Arabidopsis thaliana: one gene and its partners. The protein of the gene in region 4 interacts with the protein of the main gene of each other region in a pairwise test. Each region holds a gene or a part of one and is shown on either strand. Other genes may lie near its edges.

Region 1 (4,896 bases), on a different chromosome or scaffold from region 4:
TAAATAACGTGTTTAAATATGGAATCGTTACATGAATTTTTCTCTCTCTTGCGTTTGGAGCATACATGAGAGTATACCAAAATCTTAAAGTGTGGTTAAATATGTTTCTATACATGCATAAAATAAATATAGGTGTTATGGTTTACTTTTCCCCGATAATATTTTCACCTCCATGCAAATTAATAAGAGTTTTTTTAGTGCCGAAAAAAGTTTATAATAGATTGAGAGGAAGATGTCCAACAAGAACAACTTGGGGTCAACCATTGATGACTCTGGTTGAATTATCCTTTGACTTGACCAGCCGCTACGAATTGACCAACAAATTGAAACAATTAATAAATAGGGGAAGTTATATGAGTTATATTCATTTTTGTTTTTTTTATGTCTACCTTTCAAGCAATTCCCTTTTATATACCGAATTCATGTATTAAATTACTCTCGTTTCCATGGCTTCCCTATGTTTGTTACTTCTATTTTACATCAGAACTAGATTAGTTAATATTTTCTCTGTACGTCCAATTTTATAAATATTTTGGCTACAAACACACATATTAAGAACTTTGTTTTACTTACAAAAATAATTTAATATTTTAGTTAAAAAAATAATAATAAAGATAAAAAAATGATCACAAAATATTAAAAGCGTTTAAATTTATATAGAAAATGTAAGATATAAAGTATATCTAATAGAATGAAACAATATTAAGATAGTATTAGTTCTTTTTAACATTCCAATGAAATTTGATAATGTTTGTACCGGAGAATGATTCCTTCTCTAATTTTTTTTTTTAAAATAAAAATAAATTTTCTAGTTCTAGACATGTACATCTTTATCATATTGAGGATTAAAATATTATGTATGATTTTCTTCTAAATACCATTCGAAATCAGTGACTTTTAGATTTTATTTAAAATATTTTACTCGTTGTGCTATTTGTACCGGGTACTTTTACCAAAAGCTTATCTAAAAAAGTGGTAAAGATTTGGACAAAAAAGTCAGAACCAACATTACTTGAATAACGTTTTTTCGTAGAGTGAGTTTTGACAATGAGCAGTGTATTAATGGGAGAGACTCTTTCAGTGCAGTGGAAATTGTGGTTTCTGAATATAATAGGTAATTATGGTGACAATAATTATAAGTATTAGTATTTCCACTACTTTTAAATAGACAGCATATTTCCACAGCTTTAAGCACGCTCCTCTGATCGAAATTTCGCCTCGTGGATTTTGCAAATAGTGTTACAACAATTACCACCGGATTAAATATGATTTTTCTCATATTTAAAAAAGAAAAAAATGTGGTATAGTAAGTCATGTTGCATTCTTCAGAAAAAAGTAAGGCATTACAAAAATGTAAGGTCGTCCAGTGAGATGGTGGAAGATAAGCTTCATTGTCCAGAGAGAAGTAGTTTGGAAATAATTTTAATTTATGATATATAATGGATATATATGTACGTAAAATAATTAATTGTTGAGATATCAATCCGAATGAAGATGTAAGATCAACATAAACGAAGAAATCCGATATGCCGATCTTTGAAAGTATGGTTTGTTAATGAGTTTCAGTATTATTAATTGGATCTAGATATAATTTGGAATTAATAAGCTTCTGGGGATTGGTTGGCTACTAACGACGGTTTATGAACCATCCCGTAGCTGTAGTTATCAGTTGCAACGATATTAAAATAAAGGGACAAGAGACGAGTTTAAATTAAGACCAATTACTTTCAAGTTCAAAAACCAAGCTTAACTAATAACTACAATAACCAGTAAAATATTTTGGAGAAGTGAGAAAGGAACTGACAGGTAATATTCGGTTTTTATTTGGTGGATCTGTCATTGTCAATTTCGGAGAAATTACCAAATAGAAAAATAAAAAATGTAACAATATTCATATTTTTTCTTTTTAGTTTGTTGATCTCTCCAAGACTCCAAGTTAAAATCTCCAAACGAAGCAATACAAATCTTACCTTTACGAGCACAAAGTCGGATTTATGCGTTTAACGTCATGATGATTAGTAGATGTTTTGTGGTGGTCAAGAATATAATATGCAAACAATTAATGATGGGTCTAGAAGAAGTTAATGTTGTAACAATGAATACTCGTCAGACATTTTGGAAGAGAACACACAAAAATTAAATTTTTGTGTGTCAAAAAGTCAGTCCTCTCCTTAGCGTTTTCCTTGCGTCCTAATAATGCGAAAGGTAAAAGCGTCATATTTATTGGGTCCACGTATAGATGCGAAAAGACTCGTTCTAAAAACTCAAGCCCAAAAGACTTTTACCGGGTCGGATATATCATTGATTACAAAGGATCACTAAGTCAACAGAAATGACTTGACCAAATCGATCTTATGATAGATAGACACACGACACAAACTCTCTTTATATAAATCTCAAGAAGATTCTTATATGTGAGTCCAAAGAGCAAAAAGGAAGAAATAGAAACCAAAGCCATGGAGAAGATGATAGAACCACGGGACAACACAAGAGAATCAGAAGATGAGGATGCGTTAAAGCTTCCAGGGTTTAGGTTTCATCCGACGGATGAGGAGCTTGTAGGGTATTATCTCTCTAAAAAAGTGCTTCTCAAAAAAACGAGCAAGATTGATGAGATCGTCAGCCAAATTGATATCTATAAATTTGATCCGTGGGATCTTCCAAGTAAGTTTGTTTTACTCACTCTTGCTTTTTTCTGTTTTTTGCACTCCAAACCATGCAAACACAAATAGAAAAAAAATTAGGTCTAACTTTTATGAGAAAAACAAAAGTAAAGTCGTGTATGCATGTTTGTGAAGTAAAATTAACACATAAATTATTGTTATAAACTGATGATCAAACATAATTTTTGTTTGAAGGGTCGAGGAATACAGAGAAGGAGAGCTACTTCTTTTGTAAGAGAGGAAGGAAATACAGAAACAGCATAAGACCGAACCGAGTGACTGGTTCCGGTTTCTGGAAAGCCACAGGGATAGACAAGCCTGTCTATTCCGATGGATCCAACAAAGCCGTGATCGGTCTAAAGAAGACACTCGTTTATTACCTAGGAAGCGCCGGGAAAGGAAACAAGACGGATTGGATGATGCACGAGTTTCGTCTCCCTACAGCCAATGACACAATCCCCGGTGGCCCTACACACTCTAACCCTACTCCAACTTCCTTGCTACACGCGGTAAGTTTGCTATCTCTTGATCATGATCATGCATGGTTGGCCACTATAAACGCTTCACATGGCAAAAATACATAGGGTTTGAGAAAGAATGCTCATGGATGGTTCTTATTAACTATATAATTGCAGGAAGTATGGACGTTATGCCGGATATTTAAGAGAACTGTGTCTAGTCGAAAATACACTCCGGACTGGAGAGAATTAGCAAATGGCAAACGTGTGAAGCAGCAACAATCTAATTACCAAGAAGCTTATATAAATTTTGGGGACAATGAAAGTAGTAGTAGTACCAACGTGATGAACGTTAGGGAAGGCAAAGGGAACTACGAGAGAAGCGTTTTCCAGCTTCAGCAAACGCCTTATCAACATCAAAACCAGCCAATTCTCATGGACACCACACACGTTGATTCGTTTCAACATTTCTCCAACGATAACATTCACCATGAAACCTACGAGACTTGGCCGGACGAGCTTCGATCGGTTGTGGAATTTGCTTTCCCACCTTCTTTTCTTAGTTAGATCTCTAGAATAATTAACAACTAATATGTATACATATTACATATTACTAGCTTGGACGTGTTGTATCATCAGATCTCTACTGTATACATGGATCGTGTGTATATGAATATGCACCTGTTTGAATTCTCAGGTTGATCCACACGTATATAGTATGTATTAATGTCAATTTAATCTCGGGAACTATTTGCATATTTTGTTTTATTAGCCCTCTTATTTTATGTTTTTCGGTTAGACGAATAGTGGACTTGTGGTCTTGTTATCTTTAATAAAGTAACAAAAGCGTTTAAAAAAACATTAAGAAGCCCACAAAGGAAACAAAGCCCATTAGGTGGAGGAGATGAAACGATGGAACTTCTTGTCTTGTCACGGATGAGAGAAATATTGGAGAGAACCATTGGAGAGAAAGCAGAGTTACTTGCCAATTTCGAATTCTGAGAGCGAAGAGCCGAGATTCTGTTTGTAGTTTGGATGATGAATACGATTGTTCATGTTCCTTTTATCTCCAGATTTCGTAAATTCGTCAATTTAAGAGACGATTAGCTCAGTTTACAATCGAGTCAGTATATATCGAATTAAACTGCAGAGGTTTTGGGTGTTCCCGAGACATGACTAGGATATGGTTCAATAAACAGTTGGAATTGGCGTGAAAATTGTAGATAGGTTAAGCTTTATACTTCAAATCATGCAATCGAGTAGTCTGATATCATTTTACTGACTGATTCCACTGGTTATCCAGTAGCCAACTATGTACGTGTGATTGATTGTGTAGTAATTTCCGTCTTGTACTTTGTAAGTTGGGTTCTTATTCTGCTGCATTTGGCTATTCCGTGTCTGATGACCTTTGTTTTTTCCTTTTGCAGCTTTGTTAGAGTCTCATTTAGATCCATGTCTCTTTGCTTTAATTGGTCACAATGCTTCTTCTGGTTTTATTGCAGCGGAAACGGTTTATTGAACAAACGAAGACTCTTTATGGTATGAATTTCCTGGCATCTGTTTCAAGTTTACTTTCTAAAACCTGGAAGTTCGGCACATGAGCAGTTCCTTTTAGAACAGTTTGTTTACTTAAACCTTTGACGCCCTTTTGTGTACTGGTATAAACCTCCTGCCTCTTCTCTCATCTGTTTCAGGCTTCGATTCCACCCTTCATATTACAGTCGCAATTACAAACTAGTGTCAATGAGAGAACCCAATTCGATCAGAGGTATGCT
Region 2 (5,972 bases), on a different chromosome or scaffold from region 4:
AGAAATGCACGTATTAGCATTCGTAGTTGTATATATGTTATGTATTTTGCGTCAAATGCAGAACAAAATAAAGCAAGAAGAGACCAACAATCTTCATATGGAGAATTGTAAATTGTCCAAATCAGCAATATATAGATGTCTTGAACAATAAAAAGATAACCGAGTTTAACATTAGACCAAAAAAAAAGAAAGATAACCGCTACAGAATTTGTGACGAAAAGAAAAAAGCTTTGGAGAAAAAAACAGAGTAAGAACTGTTTTTGTTGTGTGAGAAGAGTTTGTCCTTAGGTCGCATAATCTTTTAGGATGTAGTTATATGTGTTAAGTGTAACACATGCATATCATTTACTTCTGCAATATATCTCTTCTGGAGTTTCGTAAGGTACTTATGGTTGGTTTGTCTTCGAAACTACCAACGAACAACTTAAAAAACATTGATCTTTTTAATAGCGTGAGTTTGATTTATGTTATCCTTGTTATGGTGCATATGTATTACGGAAACTTTGGTCTGTTTTAGATGGGTAAATAGTTGTATATGAGTAAATATGATATTGCCAGTGTTTTATATAAAGAAAAAGGGAAACGATGATAAAAGGTGAAAAAGAAGTTTAGGATCATCTTTGTTTTTTATTTTGTTTTCCGACTTTCAAATCAGACAAGACAACGAGGTATGGGTCTTTTAACATACAGAGACTCAACTTGAAAATTCTATCAAACCACCAATTAAAAAACCAGAGAAAACATTCAACTATCTTCTTAGAATCTAGACAAAATAAAAAGTGTATCATGCTGATTTTGAACAAATTATTAAAGAGATCTCAACCATCGTTTCATTAATATCTTTGACAATTCTAGAAGCCGTAGTAAATCTTGTCTTTTTATGTGTATATCTTGTTGAATTTGATAAGGATATTCAAAATAATGAGATATGTATGTTGAGTAATTGAGTAAAATCAGATCCCTTGTTTAATTTGACGATTAAACGCTTTTTTCATTATTTTTTTTCGCATTTTGTTGTGTATGTTCTCAATTACAAATTCCACTATAAGCATTTGGACTCTACAATGTCACTTTCTAATTCTGATATTTAATAAAACAATTATTTTGTATATGTATAAATAGTACCAGAAAAACGAACTTAATAAAATAATTGAATCAAAAGCAGATGCTGAACAAATAGCTGCAGCTTTTAGCAATTGTCTCCCATATGCTTTTCCTTTGTTTCAAAAATTGTATATACGAGGTTAAGTGAATGTTGCAATGAAATAAATGATGCAGTTTGTGCATTCATCAAGCGAACAAGTACGATTGATGTTTTCAGTGCAAAAACTAAAATAAAATACTACTAACAACTATATAGTGTAAATATATATAACTTTAACTTCTTTTTTTTTAAGTCTTCATACGCTGCGAACGATCAAAATATATTTACAAATTTACGACCAATATTTTAAAAATACTTCATTAAAGAATTGATGCTGCTGTCTGCACAGTTGAGAACGCAATTGGAAACTTTCGTGCATTCACTTTGTTCGCCGCAAATTGGATATGTGAACGTGGTCATCATTATTTATAGAATTATTCTATAAAACTTACTATAAAACACTAGATATAAAGCTGGATCATATAAAATGAATTTACTAAAAATTCGATAGTTAATTATAGCAGATGTTATGTTCCAATTTGAAAGCATACGAACGAGGTATATAGTTGAAAACACACACCGTAAAGTTAATAATTTTCACAACACAAGAACAAATCAAAGTCGCAAGTAATTTAACGCATGTCAGTAGCATGGGCTTCTTATATACTAGTCAATAGAATAAACTAGCAAACAAGCAACTAATGTATTCTTGTTTATCACGCCACGGGTTACAATATCATACAAAATTTGAATACTAATTAATGGTAACAAGTAAAAAAACAAATTACTAGAAATGGAAATACTTTTGTCAAACAACCAAGACGTATAACTTTCGTTTTCTATAGATTAATGGACTTCTTAAAAATCTCTCCATCAGATTAAACTTTGAGATATACAAATACAGTTTTTGTTTTCTTCTAAATGATATGAATATTAACTTTATCGATTTCATCCGTAGCAGATTTCCATTTTAAATAATAAACTATGAGAAAACAGATAAAGGTTGTATATTATTTGTTACCCCAAAAAAAAAAAAAACTAACTACGAGTAGTAGTTTAGTGTGTCTCACGTGCGACGAGGAAAAGTTTTGGGAGAGTAAAAACATTTAATATTTACGACTAGTTTGAAAAACCGTGAGCTGACACAAGCTCATTGCTAATGCTACAGTAACAGCTACCTTCACTTTTAACTAAATGACAGACCAATCATTTTAACCTCTGTTTTCTTAGCTGGCGCGTGACAGACACTCTCCCTCTCTCCATGCCCATAAAATCTCAAAGACTGTTTAAAAAAAAAAATGTTTTAGCTTTAACTGCTTTTTTTTTGTTGTTGGTGTAATGATATCACAGAGAGAAGAAAGAGAAGAGAAGAAGCAGAGAGTGATGGGAGATAAGAAATTGATTTCATCTTCTTCTTCTTCCTCGGTTTACGATACTCGTATCAATCATCATCTTCATCATCCTCCGTCTTCTTCCGACGAAATCTCTCAGTTTCTCCGGCATATTTTCGACCGTTCTTCTCCTTTACCTTCTTACTACTCCCCGGCGACGACTACAACGACGGCGTCTTTGATTGGTGTGCACGGGAGCGGTGACCCACATGCAGATAACTCGAGAAGTCTCGTTTCTCATCATCCACCGTCAGATTCTGTGCTTATGTCGAAACGTGTCGGAGATTTCTCTGAGGTTTTAATCGGCGGAGGATCAGGCTCAGCCGCCGCGTGTTTTGGTTTCTCCGGTGGTGGTAATAATAACAACGTTCAAGGAAATAGCTCTGGGACTCGAGTATCGTCTTCTTCCGTTGGAGCTAGTGGCAACGAGACAGATGAGTATGACTGTGAAAGCGAGGTTTTTTCTCAATCTCTGTTTTTTATCTTTTGCATGTTTTAAAAGTTGATTCTTTGTCTCTTTCCCGAGAAAATGTTTCTACAGAGATTTCTCTTTAACGGATCTGTACTTTATTTTCCCCCTTAAAATCCGCAATTTTTTTGGTTGTGATTTTGAGTGAAGTTTTGTCATTTGTGAGTGTAATAATGAATGCACACCGAGTGTTTGATAATTTGCTTCAATGAAAATACAGGAAGGAGGAGAAGCTGTAGTTGATGAAGCTCCCTCTTCCAAGTCAGGTCCTTCTTCTCGTAGTTCATCTAAAAGATGCAGAGCTGCTGAAGTTCATAATCTCTCTGAGAAGGTTTGGTTTAGAGTCTCTCCCAAAAGTAGAAACTTTCTTATTTGAGATTTATGTTTATCTTTCTTGTAACAGAGGAGGAGAAGTAGAATTAATGAAAAAATGAAAGCTTTACAAAGTCTCATCCCTAATTCAAATAAGGTAATGATACTATATATAGAGAGACATCTACATGAATCATTCTATTTTCTGTAGATTCTTTTTGTGTCTGATTATTGCAATGTGTTTATTGGGGAAGACGGATAAGGCTTCAATGCTTGATGAAGCCATTGAGTATCTGAAACAGCTTCAGCTCCAAGTTCAGGTCACTAAAGATACCTTATGTTTATCATTATAACCAAAATCCTAAAACCAGTCTATATTCTGACATAAGTCTTTTTTTGTTCTGATATTTGCAGATGTTGACTATGAGAAATGGAATAAACTTGCATCCTTTGTGTTTACCTGGAACTACATTACACCCATTGCAACTCTCTCAGATTCGACCCCCTGAAGCAACCAATGATCCTCTGCTTAATCATACCAATCAGTTTGCTTCGACTTCTAATGCACCGGAAATGATCAATACTGTGGCTTCTTCATACGCTTTGGAACCTTCTATTCGCAGTCACTTTGGACCTTTCCCTCTCCTTACTTCACCCGTGGTGCGTAGTTGAATTACACATTTTTCATTCTATAACCATAAAGCTAGTTTGCTTACTAATTTTTTTTTGTTACTTAAGGAGATGAGTCGGGAAGGTGGGTTAACTCATCCAAGGTTGAACATTGGTCATTCCAACGCAAACATAACCGGTAAAGTCTTGTTGTTTTGGAATCCTAAGGAAGTTTTAGGACATTTACAATGTTAATAACGTTACGATATTTGGGGATTTGCAGGGGAACAAGCTCTGTTTGATGGACAACCTGACCTAAAAGATCGAATTACTTGAACAGTGTCCCAACTTCGGGATCTCTATGTGTTCTTGTTTCTTAGAACGCAAGCCATAAAGCTGTCTGACAATGGAGATGCATTTAACTGTCTTTATTTTTTCTAAGGTTCTATTTAAAATCAATTGTTGGTGACACGAATTCTAGAGTCTAATCTTTTGGATCTAATAGCTATATATAAAAAGGACTGAAATTTTATTACAAAGTAATTGACTAATTGTTAGATTGTTGTATGTTTATGGTGGATGTAAATTTTCTAGATCATCTTCGTATTGTATTTGAGAGTTTGATACTCGATGGCTTTGGATATGTAAATTACCCCGATAAGCTTCTAGAGAAGTTTTCGATTCTACAAGATGGATTTGGTATCTTTAAGGTTGACCATGTTCTTTTGGTATCTCTTGTTCTCAAATTGATCATTTACAATACAATTTTTTAAAATCTTTTACCCTTCACATTTTTGTACTTACATTTGGTATATTAGTAATTTCATTTGTAAGTGTCTTTTAAAAGTTTTTCATTTATAAGTGTTGTTTTAAGATCTTTTATGATAATTAAAAAATGCTTAAATATCTTATTAACCCTTAATTAGTATACTTATAGCTTTAGTTCTCCAATTAATCTTTAGTAAGTAAAAGGGACAGAGCTAGAACTTTATTTAAAATTGGATTGAAAATACATAAATCTTATATTTTTTTCAAAAACTAGTATTGAACATACAATTTATTTATTTTATTTTATTTGTAAAACAACAATAAAAGTAAAATCATACAACGATATATTTTGAAAAAAGGAAAAGTAATTAGGATTCTCTTTCGGTGAAAATATCAGAGAACAAAATATATTTGAATGCGACTGTAGTTGAAACTTGAAAAAAATTTAGATACTAAAGTTTCGTCATTCTCTTTTTGTTAAAGACTCAGTGACGACCCTCTCCTAAAAAACACTCATAAATAAACTCGCTGGAGACGCCGGAACCAAAAACAGAGTTCTAATGGAGAAGAAAGAAAATGGTCTCGATGGAAAGCAATCGGGTCGGGTCATTAACGGACCCACTAACCCGATGGTCACACCTCTGCTCAACGATCTTTACCAATTCACCATGGCTTATGCTTATTGGAAAGCTGGCAAACAATCTGAGCGATCTGTGTTAGTATTCTTCAAAATTTACAAAAAAGTTCGATCCTTTGAATCCACACTGTAAAATCTCATCTTTGTTTTCAGGTTTGATCTGTATTTTCGTAAGAATCCTTTTGGTGGAGAATACACTATCTTTGCTGGTTTAGAAGAATGCATCAAATTTCTCGCTAATTTCAATTTGACTGATGAAGAGATCGATTTCGTTCGTGATTCGTTACCTGGATGTGAGGTATAACACAATCTCTCTTGCCAAAAGATTCGATTTTTGGCATTGTTTTTTAACTCTTTTAAAAATCAGGAAGCTTTCTGTGATTATCTTCGAGGGCTTGATTGTTCTGACATTGAAGTGTATGCCATTTCGGAAGGATCAGTTGTTTTTCCTAAAGTTCCTTTACTCAGAATCGAAGGTCCTGTTGCTGTGAGTTCTTATTATCTATCTCTAACTCTCATAATTGGAATGATCAGTTTCTGATTCCTCTTGTGCTTCTTTACTTAGGTGGTGCAATTGTTGGAAACTCCATTCCTCAATCTCATCAATTACGCATCTTTGGTTGCTACAAATGCAGCAAGACA
Region 3 (6,912 bases), about 17 Mb from region 4:
TTGCTCATTTTTGTCACTAAACTAACATCATTTCTCATTTTCATATAGACGAACCTTCTGAGTAAACATACATGACCTAATTGAATATTCGGTTCCTCGTTGAAACAGGTTTATGAAGTAGACAACAAAATGCAAAATAGAATTCAAAATATCTTTTATTTTCTATCAATAATTTAAACTATAGATTGGTAAATCTTTTTTAAATGATCAAATTCTTAAATATCTTTTTTAGTTCTAACATCTCTTAATAAAATAAAACCATTAAAAAAAATACTTTCCTCAGCCGCAATGTTTAACTAGAAATTCTACATGAGAACAATAATTTACAAAACTACCTGAAATCAAATCCAAAGCAACATATGTTTGTACTCAAATGAGATTATAGACATAGCAATTTAGAATTGAAAATTGAATAGCTCATATGGAGCTTTATTGAAACGCAAGAAAGTAAAGTAAAGTAAAGAAAAACTTTTTAGATTTTCACCAAGATCTAATTGATTCTTGGATTGATTTCTTATTGAAAGAGAATTGGTCAAAAACGCAATTCTCTAGGTTAGTCGCATTGTTCTCTGTAAATTATTGTTATATAATAAATAGAACCAAGCAGCCAACATAGTAGTTAACTTTACTATGCTAGTTCATTGAATATACACTTAAAAATAAGGAAAAATGTCAAAACAAATCACAAATTTTTAAATTTGGGACGATTTAATCTACAACTTCACGGAAGACAAATAAATCGTAAAGTTTTTGTTGACTTTCTAAATAAATGACACAGTTTTTGTTGACTTGCCACTTGAGTCATGTCGTTAAATAGGTTAACAGATTTTTTTACGATGTTAATGTCTCGTTTATTTGCTCTGTTAAAACAAAACAACATCGTTTATTGTACGTCGTTTTGTCTGTTGAAACAAATTAAAGCCTAAATTCCCAAATCGTGTTACACAAATTTCTTTTCAAAATATCATAAAATAAATATTACACTCAAATTTTTAGAATGTAGATGTGATATGTAGATTGTATAAATTAGAAAGAAAGCTCAATATCACGACAACAAGAGGATTTTATTTCATTTATGGACGATGGAAACAAAAGTGCATAATACAAATGCATGCAACAACAAATAAGAGAAAAATAAAAATAGAACGAGACACCGATAACATTTTTGACCCCTTTTTATTACATATTTTTTTATTCTTAATTCAACTTGAGAGACTCTTACTGGACTTTAGGTTTTTGACCTCCTCTTTTGAATATATCAATATCTTCTTCACCATTTTGCAGAATTCACTACATGCAAACAACACAAAAATGAAATATCAATGTCTCTCAAGATTTTAACTAATCTTTTAATCAATAGAAATAGAAAGGAAACTCACGGCCATGGATCGTCTCCAACAAGCATCTCATACCCGTCACTATCTGTGAAAGCTATTTTCCATTGGTTGCGAGTTTGTAGTTGGCCTTTGAGATCAAAGAGCTTCTCCAATTCTAGTATTAGCTGATCATATCCATTAAGAACACTTAAATCCACAGCTCTTCCTATTGTTACACCTTGCATTTGAACCTGTTCCATATCAAGATTGCATGAGTTGAGTACAATGAGAAAAAGTTTCATATATAAGGAATAAGAATATTGATCTTATACTTACTTTGGTACAAGTTCTAGTAGAACCAAACTGCTTGCTTTGGATCTCTATTGGTGATCTCAAAGTTTGGCTTTGACCAAACTTTTTTCCTTCAGTAAGTTTCGAAATATCCGAGCCAATTTCTTCAATGGGATCTTTGATCACTAGAGGAATGGCTAGAGAGACTCCAAACAGCCTAAAATTAGTGACTGCCTTGGTTGTTATATTTTCTTCTATTTGTGTAACCATTTGGTTATTGTAATTTAGTTTGGGCATTGGTTGGACAGGGTAGCTCATTAGCAATCTAGAAGGATTCATAGCATCTTCAGTTGTATCACGATAACGAAGAGAAGTATTCATCGGGGAGGCGACGCTTAGTTGTCCAATTTCTTGTCCTTGTGTCAATATAGGAGGCAAGATATGTGATGATGAAGAACATGTATATAAAACAAGAATATTGAGAAGGTATTCAAGAGTCTCAAATTCATTAAATAGAAGATTAATCCTTTAAATAAAAGATTATAAGAGTGTATTTTTATACCGAATTCATTAACTTCTCGTAAACGCTTGTTCTTGAGCAAAGATGATCGCGGAACATTTAACGCAGACATTAAATGTTCGATCTCCCAGGGTGACACTTTATTAGGTCTCGAAAATGATGCAAATTCATCCCACTGAACCTGCAAAATTAAAGTTAATTAGTGATATGTTATTTATTGCACTCAAAAACGTATTCCTAAAAGAATGTTATAAAGTGTGAATGAAATTTTACTTCTAAGCTGCGCCACTCTGAACACTTCCAATGAGGAGAGAAATCATTAACTCCAATAATTGTCCCAAAATATCTTAATCAATTGAACAAAATGTGTTATCATTGATAATATTAAACATTATAAATATATTTATGCAGAAATTTTTTTTCATCTAATGTTACCTTCTTTCAGAGAAATCATCACCCTCAAACCGCATTGTAAATCTTGAACCGACAATGAACTTATTGTTCATAGCGTCTAAGAATTTGTCGTAACTGACAATAAATTGACTTGACCTGATACTTAGAAAGACACAAAATATAAACCTATATGTTGAAGGAACTAATCTATTGATAAATCAATATAATCTAAAATGTGAGTTCAAATGGTTCTTTGAATTACCTTGGCTTGTAAACCACAATGAATATACATTGGTTATCAAGAGCATGCTTTGCGGAAGCAATTACCCCATGTCTCATACAATCTATTGATACTATTGATGAAGGTATATTCCCTTGTTGATGTCTTGCTCGTCTGATACCAACTCGTAACTCTCCAGTCTCTCCCCTAAAACCACAAGTAAATAGTTTAAAAGTCCAAAACTCCAAAACCAAAAGATATATAACAAGAATCAATATTATACCTAACGAATACAATAACATCTCCTTTAACCAACTTTTTCGATGTTGTGAATTCATTCCAACCAGTTGTTAACGAATGTCTTTGCGGTGTACCTGCATGGAATAAGAAGATTATTAGTTACTTCTCTAGGATTTATTACCTCAATAGCTGTGTTTGAATGATTTGAATAAAATGAATTATTACCTCTATAGCTGTGTCTGAATCTCCATTGATTACCATGGAGATCTTTAGCAAGAAGTTCTTGTGCCGGTAGAGGCTGAGACATATCCTAAACCAAAATTTAATATGTAATGTCTAATGAAATCTTAAAATTCAAATTCATTTAAAAAAATTATAACATTAAATACCAGTGGAGGGAGACATTCAATGGCATGTTTTTTCGGAACAAAGAATCCACCATAAGCGCTTGTATCAGAGGCCGTTAAAACCTTCGTAAAGGAATTAACTAATGGCCTAAATTGATTTTCACTCTGAGTAGGGATTACAACTTGCTAAGGATTTAACAAAATCAGAAAATCAATGAGATATAATAGGAGAAAAATACAATTGACTGAAAATAAAAGAGAAATACTAAATTTTCACTTACAGTTGTATCTGGCATCAAAGTGATCTCAGCATAAGTCTCATCACTATTGTTTTCCACCTAAAATCAAACATCAAACAATTAACCAATTACTTCTTTTTACAATGAAATCAAATATAGATATCATGCGTATTTGCTAAAACATAATAGAGATATACCTTAAGATGAATTGCAATAACACGGCATTGAAGCTTAGAAGGAAGATCACAAATTGGTTGTAACTCATTCAACTCTTCTCTTGTAGATGCATCAACCTGAAAAGGCCGTCAAAAGGTTTCATACACAAGAGAGAGATAGAGAGAAAGAAGAGAGAGAGAAGAAAGGGAGATAGAAAGAAGAAAGAGAGAGAGAAGAGAGAAAGAGAAGAGAGAGAGAAGAGAGGGAGAGAGAGAGAGAGAGAGAAGAGAGGGAGAACTCACAAGCTCTATATTGCCTTGAGGAAAGTAATAAACATTTTCTCCAAGTTTTGGAATATCACACAAAGGTCCCGCACAGAGTTTCCATAACTGCTCGTACATATAGCTCTTGGATCCATCAACTGCCGAACAAAAACCAAAAAATTATAACCAAAACAAGTTTTCAATAAGAGAAAATAAAAAAGTTAAAATTTCTTACTTATGCCTGATAATTCAGGTTGTGCATTCACAACGTTGCCAGTTTCCATAACCTCGTATCCAAATATCGGTATACCAAAATATGTTATCTCAACAATTATTATAAAACTTTCTCCCTTTCCTCAACTTCTCTCGCGACCATGATAGCACAAAATATCACATTTATAGGTAAGAACTATCAAAATACATTAAAATACTTCCTTAGATTTGAATACTAAATTTAATAAGGTTACCAAAAATTAATAAAGGTAATTTAGAGAAATGTCATTAATATTTTGACTACACATAAGAAAATCAATTTTCTTATATGTTTATTGATTAAGTTACCAAAATCAACATATGCATTATTCATATATAAGTTGAGTAATATAATACATTTTTAATACTTACAATGAAAAAAAATCTTTGAATTTTGTTTATAGATAGCCATATAAATTTAAATAGGAGTTCTTGCTAGCTTTTTCTTTTCAACATATGCATTACTCATATATAAGTTGAGTGATATAGGAAAATTTTAGTACTTACAACAAAATATTTTTTTCTATGAAATTTGTTTAAAAGTAGCCATATAAATTTTAAATATGAGTTTTTGCTTGATTCTGATTGCATTAATAGGAATTCTCTAGCATTATGATCAAACCTTTCATATGGGATCTATGGTACATCTCATGTTAGGTTATTTTTTTTTTGCTTCCTCTTTAAGTTTTTAAGGATCCCATATAAACCGGCTTTCTCATATATTGTCGCTCTTTGGAGAAATTTCCAAGGGCATGTTCTCTTTTCCATTTAGCTTCCCCTTTCCATTTAACTATGATGTGAATTTGCATGTATCCGATGCCTATTGGGATGTCTTTGGTATCAGGGGTAGATCACCGGTGGTGGTGATGGTTTGGCCTTACAAGGGGATGTGGCTTATAGTATGATGAATTCCATCAAAAATGTACAAGGGCTTCTCGCTGCCTCTCAACCTAAATGTCAGTTAAGCATTTTTGCTCTATGTTTTATATTGATAATTATAATAGTTATTAATTATTATTAATGATAATTATTTAGCTTATAGAATTTTTTTTTATCATCTATAGAGAAATTATTAATTGAATAAACTTATTTAATTCATTAATTCAATAATTTAAATGACTAATTGTTTTATCCAAACCATTTGCTAAATGAATTAGATTGACTCATTATCCATTAGAATCTAAATTTATATAAATATAGATTGGTTTGATTTGGTTTAACCAACTTGACATCCGTAAATATAACACCCACAAAAAAAAAAAAATTATAACACATTAGTCAGACAACATAAAAAAAACTTATAACTCATCTTCTTCTTATAACTCATCTTCTTCTTATAACTCATCATCTTCTTCTTCTTCTTTTGTTGAAGAGTAAATTCACCAAGAGAGCCGACATGGAGATAGAGAAGATGATTGTTGGGTCTGCGGTTTGTGATAGATGGAGATTTAGGGTTTAAATTTGTTTTAACACACAAAACGACGTCGTTTTGTCCTTGCAATAAACGACGTCGTTTTGTCTCTGTAATAAATGACGTCGTTTTGTCTCTGTAATAAACGACGTCGTTTTGTCTCTACAATAAACGACGTCGTTTTGTCTCTACAATAAATGACGTCGTCATAAAAAATAAAATTGTTAACCTATTTAACGACATTACTCAAATGGCAAGTCAACAAAAACTTTATTTATTATTTAGGAAGTCATAAAAAACTTTACGATTTATTTATTTCAGTGAAGTTGAAGATTAAATCGTCCCAAATTTAAAAGTTTATAAAATTTTTAATATTTTTGCCCTTAAAAACACTTTAACATTTTTTCTGAAGATATACAAATATATATGGCGCCAAGTCATAGTATTATTGACTATAGAAACCCACACGATTATAAGACGAAATATAAATTTAATGGATAAATTGGATGTACAAAGAGATATATAACATAATATGAATAAAAGAAAGAAAAGAGAACGAGTTTCACAACATGTACAAAAATCATAAGAATGTCACAGGAGTGGACATAGAGCGGATATCATGAATTTGTGTGATTTTTGATTAGTTTCCTCTGTTCGATCGGCCATTTGTTTTTATCCATACCCGTTCTGTAACGACTTATGTCAAAAGATAGATATTCTGACCGATATTGATTACTTCAGATTTTGTTTTTTTCACCAGTTACGTGATAAGATTTTTAAAATAATTAATATATAGCAAATTTCAAAATTCAACAAACAAAAAGCACTATTGATATATTTTAGGATTAATGTGATGAATACAAATTCATAAAAATTTAAACCTAGATATAATAAACTATACAGTTTAAATATATATAATTATATGTATACATATATCATCACATATATCTTGCTCTTCAGATTTTAGTACTATGATTTGCCTCATTTTAATAGGTATTAAGTTTGAATCTTTGTCCAAAAAAAAAATTTGAATCTATGTTTTGGTCTGTAAAATTATGGATATTTATATTTTCTGCATCAAATCGAAATTGTAACAAACCAAAATATATAGGTCATAAATTTTGTGATGCCCTAGAATGTGGATCAATCGACCAAGTGTTGACACTGGAAGTGACCAAAATATGAGCGTACATGAGATGGGACACGAGTAGGCCGGTACTTGTTGTCAAGCCACACAGCCGTTCCTTTTGCCTCCAAAATAGGC
Region 4 (4,797 bases):
GAAAAGCTGCGAATAAGCTATTGTTGAAACCTTCTTCGTCTTCTTAGTACTTGTTGTACTCTTCTTCTTTTTCATTCTTCACAGGAAGACAAATAAAAAAATAGGAATCGGCTGATTTTATTTTTGCAGCTTTCGCAGAGTTGCAGTAAATAGGGAGAAGACTGATTGATTTATTAGTTTTTTACTAAACTCATGATTACAGATTTCGTCCTTCTGTCTTAAATCTTTAACCGTTGGATCTTAAGGGTTTCTATGTACTAATCTGATCGGACGGTCGTGGATGACTCCTTGTTTAGAAGGTGCTTTGTTGAGTTTATTACCTGATTAAGCAATTTCCTTCCAGACAAAAACAAATCTCATAATAGTCTGAGGTTTATTGATTTGTCTATTCCCAAATCATTTCTTAAAATTCTATAATGTTTCTTTTGTCATTCTAAATTTTAAAATTATACTGTAAATGTTATTGATATATTTAGTTCTTAATAGAGTTTTAAACCCTTTTTTCTAATGCATGTTAAGACAAAGAAATTTAATATGAAGTTCATTATAGAGATATGACACTCTAATTATCTGGAACATAACGGAATAAGATCTTAATCAAATTCTGGATTCCGTTATGTAGATTTTTATGGAATGACAACAAAAGAAAGAAAAAATAACTGGGCTTATTTTGGGCTTGATACCATAATGGCATTATGATGTATCAAATCTGCCATGATGTATTCTTGACCCACTGTAGGAAACCTGGATTGGTTTGGGCTTAATTGGATAAACAATCTGTATAGAATTTACTGGTTTCGTAATTCTCTAAGTCTCGGACCGCTCTATTATGTTATCGCAATTTATTATACCCAAGTAAATGTCCAAGACATCAATATCAGTTTTCTAGAGCCTAAAAGCAGTTTCGATTATTTGAGACAAAAAGTATCAATTAACATTAAATACTAGCTACCAAATTTATGTACTTCTTATTATTATCTCACATATTTTGTTACGAGTCGAGTTAAATGAATTATACGACTGTTTCATTCCATGCGCATTATAACGAAAGAAAACAAACTTAGAAAACAATGGCTGACCGGAATTACCGGTCACGGGTTTGTAATCGAAACCGGTAAATTCGTCTATGTGTCGCCAGTAGGACCTATTAGCCCCTGGTTTAACTCTTATTGCCCTTATTGGTCTAAGAATAGTGTCGTGAACCATCGAAAAAATCATTTATGATTCTATGTTCCCCAACGAAAAACAGAGTCACGTGACTTACGCATGTGACCCTACGCTGCTGTAATTAATGTTCTGCTCTTTTCCTTTGTCTAAACTTTTTTGACATCTCATTTCATATTGCATGTAAATAATATGACTAATATGAAATTAATACCGGACACTGAAAAACTTTTCAGTAAAAACTTTATACTTGTTCACTAAAAAAGGGATAGTTATCTATCTCTAACTTTTTTTATCCCAAATCATGAAACTTTTAATCGCTTTTATACAATGATTGATGTTCATTATATATTTTATTTTAGATTTTATTTCAATTTTGAAGTAGAAGTTTCAACATTTAGTTCTGTTCACATTGTTTTTTTGGTGGGAACATTCTTTTCATTGTTTACAAGATCCACACGCATATTAGTTGGGATTTCTTCTGATATTCGGTGAAAGATTAAACTAATGAAGAAGTATTGTACCTAATTAGTGTGTAGTGTACGATGATAGATAATTAGGAATATATTGTTAGACCATGATTTGTTTTCGACCGACGACAGTGAAAGTTGATGTACATATATAATGGTGAAACTTTTTTACCAAGAAAAAGTTAGTTGGAATGATAATTTAAAGGAGTAAAGCGACAACAAAGTGTAGACAAAAGGAACACTATTGAAGATCTCTCCCGAAGAATATATTGGACTGAAGTTTTTTTTTTTTGGTCTAATGTTAAATTATTGGACTGAAGTTGACAAACACAAACAAATATATATGGGAATAAAGTTTATTATATTTTCCAACGATTATAAGCAAAGGTAACATGAATGCGATTAAAATGATATTTTCAACTCTATTTAGAAAGTAAATAATGGTATTTAGAATATATATTTTTCTCGTTTTGTGAATGCTAGTGGATAATATAATCAAATTATATATTTTTCTCCTTAATCGAACCCATCAGTCGTGACGTGGGAGCTTAAAGATCAGGGCTGATTTCTTCTTCTTCTTTCTTCTTTTTTAGTTGACAGTGATTTCTTCTTCTTCTTCTTCTTTTGATACCAGGCTAATAGAAATTAAAACTGAAAAGATATCCGTACACATGCAATTACATCCACTAATGACAGTTTAGAAGATGCTAAGTGGCTATAACTATAAATGAGCCCACACCACACGAAGTAGAAGCTAATCACCAAACTGTTCACTTGCTTTCGTGGAGATATAAAAACCGCCAGTTACAGGAAAACGTGTCATTATAGGTAGGGTTCACTAGTTTTTTAGCTGACAAGTATAGATCGACTATAAATACAAAGTTGGAAACCTCGAGAGTCTCACACACTCAAGCCAAAAGTTAGTGCCACATTGTCTCATCACTTTCCGCACTTTTGTTGTTAACTAACTTTCATAAATAGATTAAGATATTAATGTCACCGGAGGAATACGTTAGGGTTTGGCCGGATTCCGGTGATCTTGGAGGAACTGAGCTGACCCTAGCTTTGCCTGGCACTCCGACAAATGCATCGGAAGGTCCAAAAAAGTTCGGGAACAAACGTAGATTCCTCGAGACCGTTGATTTAAAACTCGGGGAAGCACACGAGAACAATTATATCTCAAGCATGGTCACTAAGTACGGCATATATATATTATATTAATTTCATTTATCGTTCATATAGGTCATATGCATGTTTGATTGATCTTCTTAATTTATTGTGGTTTTAGTGACCAGTTGGTGGGCTGGCCGCCGGTAGCGACAGCGAGGAAAACAGTGAGGCGGAAATACGTGAAAGTGGCGTTGGATGGTGCGGCCTATCTCAGAAAGGTTGATCTTGGGATGTACGATTGCTATGGACAGCTTTTCACCGCTCTAGAAAACATGTTTCAGGGGATAATAACAATATGTAAGTGATCGAGATAAGTAGGAAAAAATAAAGATTTTGATGTGTTTGGATGGACTGACGAAGTGAAGGATATTATGGTAAATTTACTTACACTTGGGGTTTTGGATGGTGGTAGGTAGAGTGACAGAGTTGGAGAGGAAGGGAGAGTTTGTTGCTACTTACGAGGATAAGGACGGTGACTTGATGTTAGTCGGAGATGTGCCGTGGATGTGAGTTCTCGGAATTACCCTTTGTGTTGCTTTTACGTACTTTTCCTTTTTTATTCAAAACTAGAATTTCTGTACTATTTTGTTACTTACATTCATATCAAAACTAGAATTACTGTATTATTCTGCTGTGAAGGAAACTAAATTTTCTTGGGATTGATGATATTTAATTTGTGTAGGATGTTTGTGGAATCTTGCAAACGTATGAGGTTAATGAAAACCGGAGATGCTATTGGATTATAGGTCTCTATTCTGCTTCCCACAACGTAAACGCATCGGATCTTCGAAAGGCTATATAAGATTATGATCACAAATGCATTAAATACTGTAGAGATGTATACAATTGCATTTTTGAATTGCAATATGCTATATATGTAATTTCAAACCTTTTTTGGCCGTGGATTTTGTATGTAATGTACTACTATTGTTTAAATGATTTTACTTTTTTTTTTTTTAATTCAATAATTACAAACCACTTTTAAGCATCAGTGCCGACCACCACGATCCGGGCATGACGACATCGACACTCGACAAGACGGGATGCTCAAAGTTTTAATATGTTTTTTTTAAAAAAATTACACGTTTCATTTTTATGCATTCGAATTTGTGCATTAAATGATCCTAGAGATCGTAATATAAAAGCGGATTTTTTTTTTTGTAAGAATGCTAGGTCTTGTAACATTTTTCTCTAGCACTCGTAGACCTTACTGTTATTGATTACATGCAGGAATATCAATAAACGAAGAACTAAAAATGGAATTGAATACTTGAGATTGACATTAAATTATCCTAGAGATCGTAATATAAAAGCGGATTTCTTTCTTGTAACATTTTTCTCTAGCACTCTGTATATATCTTATTGTTATTGATTACATGGCGGAAACATCTATTATCAATAAACGAAGTGCCATTTGAAAATTTAAAATTTTAACATTTATCCAAAAATAAACTTATAGTTTTAGTAGTAATGTAAAAATAGAATTTTAAAAACATTTGTTAAAAAAAAAAACAAGTGTTAAAAGTTTAAATAGTGTGTAAACCATTTTAAATCTAGGACACTTTTTAGGGGTTTGCATGTTGTGTCCAAATATATATACAAAATTTAAAAATTTAACACTTATAAAAAACAAACCCTTATAGTTTTAGTAGTAATATAAAAATACAAGTTTAAAAACATTTGTAAATAAAAGAAAAAAAATGTTAAAAATTTAAATAGTGTGTAAACCATATTGAACCTATGACACCTCTTAAGGGTTTGGATGTTGTGTCCAAATATTTACACAAAATTTAAAAATTCAACACTTGTAAAAAATAAACCTTATAGTTTTAATAGTAATATAAAAATATAATTTTAAAAACATTTTTAAATAAAATAAAAATAAGTGTTAAAATAGTAATGTTTTAGTGAAGGTTTTGTACTAATTAGTTTTGGTTTTACTTAAAATAAGTTATAAAGAAAAGAAAACAATTCTTAGCAAAAAAAAAAAAGA

What was found.
Region 1: the proteins of IAA15 (region 4) and AT3G12910 interact in a two-hybrid assay, tested with the Arabidopsis thaliana proteins (one large-scale study listed by BioGRID).
Region 2: the proteins of IAA15 (region 4) and SPT interact in a two-hybrid assay, tested with the Arabidopsis thaliana proteins (one large-scale study listed by BioGRID).
Region 3: the proteins of IAA15 (region 4) and ARF20 interact in a two-hybrid assay, tested with the Arabidopsis thaliana proteins (one large-scale study listed by BioGRID).

The regions. Positions count from the first base shown.
Region 1 is NC_003074.8:4,106,961-4,111,856, forward strand, and holds AT3G12910 (NAC (No Apical Meristem) domain transcriptional regulator superfamily protein), read left to right. Parts: upstream 1-2,414; 5' UTR 2,415-2,456; coding exon 2,457-2,664; intron 2,665-2,858; coding exon 2,859-3,172; intron 3,173-3,298; coding exon 3,299-3,688; 3' UTR 3,689-3,889; downstream 3,890-4,896.
Region 2 is NC_003075.7:17,411,685-17,417,656, forward strand, and holds SPT (basic helix-loop-helix (bHLH) DNA-binding superfamily protein), read left to right. Parts: upstream 1-2,398; 5' UTR 2,399-2,482; coding exon 2,483-2,992; intron 2,993-3,224; coding exon 3,225-3,335; intron 3,336-3,407; coding exon 3,408-3,473; intron 3,474-3,570; coding exon 3,571-3,636; intron 3,637-3,730; coding exon 3,731-3,976; intron 3,977-4,054; coding exon 4,055-4,124; intron 4,125-4,208; coding exon 4,209-4,261; 3' UTR 4,262-4,702; downstream 4,703-5,972. Other genes in the region: NAPRT1 (nicotinate phosphoribosyltransferase 1), read left to right, coding at 5,254-5,408, 5,484-5,628, 5,698-5,817, 5,896-5,972. UniProt on the Arabidopsis thaliana protein: Transcription factor that plays a role in floral organogenesis. Promotes the growth of carpel margins and of pollen tract tissues derived from them.
Region 3 is NC_003070.9:12,926,255-12,933,166, forward strand, and holds ARF20 (auxin response factor 20), read right to left. Parts: upstream 4,270-6,912; coding exon 4,221-4,269; intron 4,144-4,220; coding exon 4,025-4,143; intron 3,860-4,024; coding exon 3,764-3,859; intron 3,666-3,763; coding exon 3,609-3,665; intron 3,514-3,608; coding exon 3,370-3,513; intron 3,291-3,369; coding exon 3,206-3,290; intron 3,115-3,205; coding exon 3,024-3,114; intron 2,948-3,023; coding exon 2,783-2,947; intron 2,677-2,782; coding exon 2,563-2,676; intron 2,474-2,562; coding exon 2,401-2,473; intron 2,309-2,400; coding exon 2,170-2,308; intron 2,024-2,169; coding exon 1,653-2,023; intron 1,568-1,652; coding exon 1,380-1,567; intron 1,291-1,379; coding exon 1,203-1,290; 3' UTR 1,049-1,202; downstream 1-1,048. Other genes in the region: AT1G35242 (uncharacterized protein), read left to right, coding at 4,990-5,142; AT1G35250 (Thioesterase superfamily protein), read right to left, coding at 6,792-6,911.
Region 4 is NC_003070.9:30,220,533-30,225,329, reverse strand, and holds IAA15 (indole-3-acetic acid inducible 15), read left to right. Parts: upstream 1-2,560; 5' UTR 2,561-2,627; coding exon 2,628-2,830; intron 2,831-2,922; coding exon 2,923-3,109; 3' UTR 3,110-3,310; intron 3,311-3,486; 3' UTR 3,487-3,701; downstream 3,702-4,797.